Tribolium castaneum: one gene and its partner. The protein of the gene in region 1 purifies or fractionates together with the protein of each later gene. This does not show direct contact. Links are inferred from orthologs where the notes say so. Each region holds a gene or a part of one and is shown on either strand. Other genes may lie near its edges.

The links.
Region 2: the proteins of Mbs (region 1) and serine/threonine-protein phosphatase PP1-beta catalytic subunit purify together in Drosophila melanogaster (affinity purification with mass spectrometry; 3 studies listed by BioGRID, with this or other methods). This does not show direct contact. The link is inferred for Tribolium castaneum from reciprocal best matches to the Drosophila melanogaster genes Mbs and flw.

What each region holds. Positions count from the first base shown.
Region 1 is NC_087394.1:37,244,336-37,248,159, reverse strand, and holds part of Mbs (protein phosphatase 1 regulatory subunit 12B), read right to left. Parts: intron 3,621-3,824; coding exon 3,486-3,620; intron 2,779-3,485; coding exon 2,683-2,778; intron 2,595-2,682; coding exon 2,484-2,594; intron 2,366-2,483; coding exon 2,188-2,365; intron 2,072-2,187; coding exon 1,919-2,071; intron 625-1,918; coding exon 450-624; intron 404-449; coding exon 282-403; intron 123-281; coding exon 51-122; intron 1-50.
Region 2 is NC_087402.1:10,006,721-10,011,087, reverse strand, and holds the start of serine/threonine-protein phosphatase PP1-beta catalytic subunit, read right to left. Parts: upstream 2,812-4,367; 5' UTR 2,681-2,811; intron 2,667-2,680; exon of another isoform or gene 2,574-2,666; 5' UTR 2,509-2,573; coding exon 2,457-2,508; intron 2,178-2,456; coding exon 2,094-2,177; intron 1,847-2,093; coding exon 1,715-1,846; intron 1,666-1,714; coding exon 1,435-1,665; intron 1,383-1,434; coding exon 1,206-1,382; intron 1-1,205. Other genes in the region: Fkbp59 (FK506-binding protein 59), read right to left, coding at 2,958-3,110, 3,193-3,545, 4,052-4,367. UniProt on the Drosophila melanogaster protein: Required for cell adhesion in non-muscle tissues and in maintenance of muscle attachment. Vital for larval development.

The DNA of each region.
Region 1 (3,824 bases):
AATAAATGAACGAAATAAACAAATTAATCGAACGCAAAAACATCGCTTACCTCTTCGTGATTTAATTTCGTACTATCTTCATAATCACCACCTCCTGACGGATCCTTATCTTGATCCATATCCTAAATGGATAAAAGTCGTTATTAAAAAAAAATCATATATATGTCACGAGAGTAATTACAACCCTCTGCTTCGTGTTGGGCTGCAAACTTTGCCCACGGGAGGAAATTATACACTTTGCTCCCTAGATATATAAATCGCGATTTTTTACACACACTCACATCCATATTTTCAAACGAGACGACCCCTGTGGACCTCCTCTTGGGCCTCCTTCTTCGTTGGATGGCCGCCTGTGTGGCGAGAGTGGCTTGAGCGTTGCGTACGTCATTTTCTTTGTCTTGTTCTGTGTAAAAATCGGTTAAAATTCGTCCAATTTTTTTTTATCGTACCTTTTTCATCTTGAGTTTTTGGTCTTCTCAATGGTAACGTGACCGTAGTTTCGGCCGTTTCGACCGGTGCCGATGACGGTCTAGGATTCGTGGTGGTATTTTGTGTGACGGTGCGACGGACAAAGGACGGAGTGCTTGGTGGTTCAGAGGATTTCGTTGCATCTTCCAGTTTAAACTACATCCAACAAAAAGTATTAGCGTGCACACATTTATGCCCAAACCCCGTGTTGTTAAACTATATAGACCCCAAAAAATTATTAAACACAACGGTTATTATTCAATAAACATTTATTAGAATTTCATTTGGTACTAGTAACGAGATCGGTTTAGTTATTATTATGACACTCCAGATAAATCAGTATTTTTTGCTGTGCTACAACTAAATACAAACAATAGCATTACACACTAACATGCATGCTTAACGTAATAATACAAGAAAAGTGACGTTAAGTACAAAATATGTTGGATAGGGTTACAGATTAAGTATAAGCTTAGAAGAAAAACCAAAACGCAAATCTGAAAAAAAATGACTACAGTAAGGATTGATATTCACTAAATTAACGAAGTAAACCGATGTTAATAAGCAATCAAAACCAACACACATAATTACCTGCCAATAAGTTCGTAATCCAAAAAAAAAAACAAAAAAAGAAGATTCCACTTTTAAATTCTTATTTCACAAGTTTAAATTTTAATCAAAGGTCTAATTAATAGACAGGCCAAAAAAGTCCAAATACAAAGACTAAGTTTTAGCACTAAATTTTGCTTAATTAAATAAAGAAGAATTTAAAAATTCAGATAATACGACCTAGAAACATGTATCTCAATTCATACAGAATTCATCAATTTTTTTCAAGTCTTTATATTGGAAATGAATTAATTAATATTAAGTCGCTGTGAGAAATATAATTTCTTTGGTTCATTGTTTAGAATGGCACTTACTATTATAGAACGATAGAATTGTCTAATTGAAAAATTGTGCACCCATTTCGGCGATTTTGTGGTTTACTTTAATCGAAATTTCACATTTTTGGGCAACAATTTTTCCAGATATGTCGCCAAAATAATGTCATTTTTGATTTAGCCTAGTGAATTTTTAAACTGAGTTTTGAGTTCAAAATAAGTTTAAAAAAAAGCAAAAATAACTCGATTTTCGCCTAAATTCGAATTATTATTTTTTGGATAATTTTCGAATAATTGCGTTTTTTTTATGAAAAACGTGCTAATATGACAAAAATTAATTTTAGCAAAATTTAATACTATGTTCTAATCAATTTTTCATTCACATTTCAAATGTAACTTTTGAAAGTTTAACCAAAAGCGGTACACGTATTATCAAGAACCTCCTCCTTTGGTAATTTTGCATGTTTCAATCATTAAAAAAAAAGAAGAAAAAAGCGAAGAAGAAGTGATAAAAAAATCATCCATTTGCGGCTCCACAGTGACTTTCACAACACCTAAAAACTCACCTTACTACTACTGTCAATTTTCAGCCTCCACGACGGCCTACGCTCATGAGTAATACTGGGTTCTTCAGTATCACGTGTTATAACAGTAGGTGCCGCAGTGGTTATTGTAGCGGTCACACTCACTCCGTTAGGGGAATCCCCGTTAGCTCCAGACTGTTAGTACACATTACATATGATTTATTAAATGAATGGAAAAAAATTATTACAAGAATTATTCACCACTCCCGGATGAATAAGCCATAAAACTGAAAAATGAAGTCACGACTTACTTGCTCGTTATTGTTGTTATTGCAATTCGGTTGATTCTTCTTTTTAACGAATTGTTCAGCCGATTTTATCTCCTCCAATGTTACACCTTGAGTCGAACGCCTCGTCTCACGAACACGTTTCGCATGAGCTTTGCGTTGCGTTTCACTTTCTTCGTCACGAACGGGTGGCACAAACGACCTTTGGAAAAAAATTAATCAAACAAAGCTCAACTTTAAGAAAAAGTAAAAATTGGCGAAACTCAAGTCAAACATTTAGTAAGCAACGTCACACAAACTCGGTTAAAACAGTATCATACTTGAAGAAGTTTTTAAACATTTGAAGTCTATTGCCACCAGGTGTTGTAGGAGTTGTTGGAGTGCTAGTGGTTGTGACAGGTTGATTTGTGCCAATTGGCAATTTTAAACCGCTAATGAAAGAATTGACAAAATAAATTTACGAACTGACAACACATTAAGCCTAAATCCGATATTTCTTAGTTTTTTCTAAACGCTTACCTTCGAAGTGGTTGATTATTAGATACTGGACTCATAACCGGTGATGTTTTCGTTGATGATGTACTGTTATTTTCGTTGCTGTCTTCTTTCAAACTTCTAGAAGGAATAAACAAGGAATTTGTTCAATAAAAATGCATTTATTATTTATTCTATTTCGTATGAATAAAAAATGTAAATAAAACTCGTTCCAAATTGTTACGTTACCACCTGATTTGGTATTGGTCTGAAACTTTAGCGACAAAAAATATTGCCAATATTAATGAAAAACTATTGAAATAGTATTTTTTTTTAATGACTTGACCAGCCTCACCATCAGACAGTTTTTGAAAAATATAAAAATAACAATTACTGGCATCTGGTGACTTTCGCCTTAGAACAGATAACTTTTTTTTGGTTGTAATTCTGACTGCTCGTAACAATTTGAAACGACTTTTAATTAATTAATAATTCCCAAGTTGTAAAACTAATGACTTGTCACAAAAAAGTGAAGTTGTTTGATTTGTTACAAGTGATAAACTTTCATAATCAGTTGTAATATTTTAGATTATCAGAAAATTTATTTCAATATTTATCAAGAGAAGTTTTTCATGCAAATGCTAATAAATCGTGACGAAACACTTGTGCAGACATTTAATCTCCTACACAATCGTAAAAAAGCACTAAATACATCTCAACAACGAATTATTATAAAGCGATGGTCATCAAGCATTAATTGTTGGATTAATTGTTAATATTTGCCCTTTGGTTAAAAAACCATCGCTTTATAATAAAAAAAATTGAAGACGACAACAACACGTGCATACCTGTAATGCTGCTGAGAAGTTGAATAGGAATTTGGGATAATGTCGGAATGAGGTCTAGTCGAATAAGGAATAATGTCATTGCTATTTCTATATTTCTTAATGCGTGCATGCAGTTCCTCGTATTTCGAGTAGAACCTAAACAATACAAGCAAGTGTCAGAGCGTTAGATGCAATCAGTTTCTACTACAATACATTCGAAAAGAAATAAAAGTAGTAAAAACTGGAGAATAGTCGATTAAAATAAGCTATTATTAATTTCCTCTCCTTTGCAAGATGAAAAATATTAAATTTCTTGGTTAATAGGCGAAGCTCATTTTGCGAAGGAGTTATTATTTTGTA
Region 2 (4,367 bases), on another chromosome or scaffold:
CTAAGATCTCTATTTTTTTGTGATACCCTTTTAAGTTGGAATTTATCGACACATTTCATTTGAGGAAACTTATTTTGTGACGAAAATTGTCCATAATTAAAAATATGAAAACTTTAGTTCAATCTGTTGTTTTTGATTGTTATGAATCACTAATTCCATGATTAAAAAAGATAGAAAAGATAATTAAAGTGATGATTAATTTAAACATTCACCCAAGCACCAATGTGTTGCATGATTAACAATTTAAATACATGCCGTCAATTTTCCCAAAATCGCAATAATTAATTTATTACGGACGGACATTCTAGACGAATGTGGCTAGTAAAAATATGTGAGTACTTTCGCAAGAACAAAAACATATGTTATAGGTGTTGGATTCATTTAAACACAAGTCTTTCATGAAAACAGGTAATTAAGCGGAAGTGTAGATAAAAATAAAAATAATGAAATACACGGACGGGACAAAAAATGCTAAGAAGCAATTTTATTACAACACGAAAATTTTCACAAAAATAAATAAAAGACACTTAACAATATTATCAAAAAGTGTACACTTGAAAGTTTGAATTAAATTTTAACAATTAATATTTTGTTGTCAGATTTAGAAAAATAATTTTTGGATTGTATTTCAGTTATAGGCTTAATATTCCGTCATTGCTTCCAATTTTTCACGCACGCATAAAATTCTTTAGCATTATTATTTTCTTTGAACGAACTTCGGTTCCAAACTAGTCTTTTTACAGAACGCAAAGCCGGCAAAAGCTAAAAGAAGCAAAGATTTGTTTTGTTCATTATAAAAAATGATATTTTGAAACGATTTTAATAATTTTTTTTATCAAAATAAATCATATCAAATTTTTTCTAAAATTTTTCTAAAATGCGTTAACCACATTTCGAAATTCTCTATAAATAAATGCCTGTATAATGTTTTTGTTTCAAAAAGAATATCTTTTATAATAAAATAAGATATGAATTTTTTGAGGTTTCGCTAAAATGAGAACTTTTGTTTCCGAGTTTAAAAGAAAAGACAATAGCGAGATGAGGTTTTGACCAAAACATGTCACTCGTTTTTGCATAAACCTCTTATTTTCCCAAATTTCTATAAATAACACCAATAATTTAGTGTTGCCAACTTAAGTTACTCGCTTCAGAAATGAAGCCCAACAGTAAAAAAGTCAATTTTATAAATAAAAAAAGGTACTGACCTGTGTCAGGTACATCGGTCGGGCGCATAATACGACGGATCTGCTCCATGCCTTGCAGGTCAGGACTGAGCCCCCCGTGACAGCAGAAAATTTTCTCGTCGATTATCGCAGCTATTGGCAAGCAGTTGAAGCAATCGGTGAAGGTTTTCCACAACTTGATGTTGTACCGTCTCTTGCCTGTAATTTTTTCTATAAAAAACACACACAAATTTGCGAGTTTAATGTTTACATTCGTCGTAAAATCCGTATATTCGGTTAATCGACGCGCATTCGTGGTTTCCTCTGAGGAGGAAGAAGTTTTCAGGATATTTAATTTTATAGGCCAGAAGCAGGCAGATGGTCTCTAGCGATTGTTTACCACGATCAACGTAGTCGCCAAGGAACAGGTAATTGGCTTCAGGAGGAAAGCCCCCATATTCAAAAAGACGGAGCAGATCTGTGTATTGGCCATGAATGTCCCCTGGAAGCTTAACTTGAAATTGAAAGTTTGGGGTGTTTGGAGGACCTACCGCAGATTTTTAAGGGAGCTTCCAGTTCCAAAAGTATGGGCTGTTGGAGGAAAATTTCTCGGGATTTTAAGCAAAGTCCGCGGACTTCCGCCTCGGACATTTGTACAGACTTTCCGGGACGACATCCTCGTACTGAGAACAAAGTTTTTAAAATACCCTTCTGTGTCTTTTGGTCAAAAACAATGCAAATCAAATCAAGTGGTTCTGTTAAGGCCGCATGATACCTCTAGATGAGTAAATTTGTAAAAAAAAGTGTAGAGCAAGCAAAACTGAACTGATAGATGTGTGCATCAAAATCTACTAAATCGGACGACCTTACTGTACTGTAATGAGAGTAACAAATATCTAAGCTAGACTGCTATTATAGATGTGACCTTACGTTCGGAAGATATGAACATATCTTTGAATTTAGATTTCTTCTTAACATCCTGGTTTTCTTGTAATTCTCGTAGAGTTTTATACCCTGTACCCACATCACACGAAAAGCAGCACAAAAATAAACACTCAAACTATTTATTTATACAAAACTCAACTAAAAAGTGTTAAAAAGCACTCAGTGTCTTAAATAACTCCCTCAATAGTATTTGTGCACTTTTAAAGTAATTATTTTGGCCGAGTAAGAGTCTATTTTGACTGGTCAAAAGTCACAACAACATTCGACCATGCACTTGTACTCTAGTAATCCCCAACTTCCTAATCTAACACATTTAAGCGGAAAATCATAATTAAATCGCTTTCTTACCTTCTAATAATCTTTGAATTAAATTGTCGACGTTTAGATCAGGCTCCGCCATTTTTATTTTCCACTAATAAATGAAAATTAGCGACAATCTTACCAACCCAACGATGCACTTCGTTCCTAAAAACGCACGCATGGCGCTTAGTTCAAACAAATTTATCCAACAAAACGCATTAACACGAATTTAAATAACCCAAACGACTTCTACGAGGAATTTTGTCACTTACAACCCTTCAGACGTCAAAGAACGTGTCAAAACCAAATTTTCGCCAAAATTCAAATCGTTAATTCCACAACTCGCAAAATTTCAACTTCAATACCTTATTTGCACACTGCGCAAATCTATTTTTACGTGGACGGACAAGAAGCGTAAGCCGGGATTTTAGACTTGTCAAACAAAAAAACACCCACTAAATTGATTTTTTGAAACATTGTTATGAGTGTCAAAAACAATTTCAAACAAAAACAACAATTGAAACGGTTTTATTCAATTGGGCAACAAAACTACATGTCCTTAAATTCTCCACTGCCACTAAGCAACAAAATATTCGGATTTTCCTTCTCAAACTCACTCGGCTCTCGCTCACGATCTTCCTTACCCCATTCACCCACTGACGACATCACATTCGGCTCTTTCTTTTTCTCTTTTTCTTCCCTCTACACAATAAAACCACATTTTATTAAAAACATTTATTCAAATTACCAGCGGGACAATAATTCAAAATTAATTGTTTTTCACCTGAGCATCCACTTTCGCAAATCTGTCAAACATATTAGCAAAAACCTTCTTCTCCTTCTCTAACTGTTCTTTGAGTGTTTTCACACAAAGGGCTTTCTGACTCTGTGCAGCTGTATTCCCTGGATCTAGCTTCAAACACTGCTGGAAATCTTCGGAAGCAAGCTTGGGCTCTCCTAGTTTTAGTAAAGCCTGACCTCTTCTAAACAAAGCTTTAACATTGTCTGGATCCATTTTCAAAGCGGCGGTAGCCGAGGCTTTAGCCTCGAAATTGTCGTCAATTTTCAAGTAACATAACGACAAATTCAGATGCGCAGCTAAATTTAACGACTCTATTTCTTTATCCAGTTCCGGATCTGAAAGCAATCACAAAATTAAATTTATGATTAGAGTGGACTATAACTCAGGAGACGAAACGAGATACAGAATCGCAAGATTTTCTGAACCCCAAAAAATGGTACGGCAAAGTTAATTTAAAATCCAACCAATTCGTCTAGCGGACTTTTTTGTAGACAAATTTAATTCTCTACAAATTTTTTCCTAACAAATTTCTGGCATCTATTATTGTGTTCATAGCGTTTTGAAAAATATAGAGCAGAGTGCGATTTGATAAAAGTTTGATTTTTTTTAAATATAGTTTACGGTAAAATTTTTGCATCATGTTTTTGTCACATTATTGAAAATTTAGTGCTCTATCTGCCTGTATTTTTTGTTTGTTATGTGTTAACAGTTATACAAATACAAGCATTTTTCAAATTTATTGCTTCGACAACTTGACTCTCTCTGGTGAGAGATCAAAAGCGAGATCGTTTTATTTGTACGTCGTTTCGTACCCTAACCTTTAGACATCCGTAGTACACACCTTTCTGAGATTCCAAATACTCAATAATTTTTTTGTACATTTTTATGGCTAGTTGAAATTTGTTAGCTTTAAAATAATTCGTTCCTTTCTCCTTGAAAATTTTTGATTGTTCCACACGTTCTTTGGTGTCCAGAGCCCAACTTTCTTTAACTCTTTCAAAGTTCTTCAACGTGACGGTGTATTCAACCGTTCCGTTCGGTGGAATGTTAAATTCTGAACAACCCTCAGTTCCAAATGCATATTGTGGCTTGATTACAAGTTTTGAAGTTTCGCCCTTTTTGAATTTTTCAATGGCAATGTCAATACCGGAAATAAC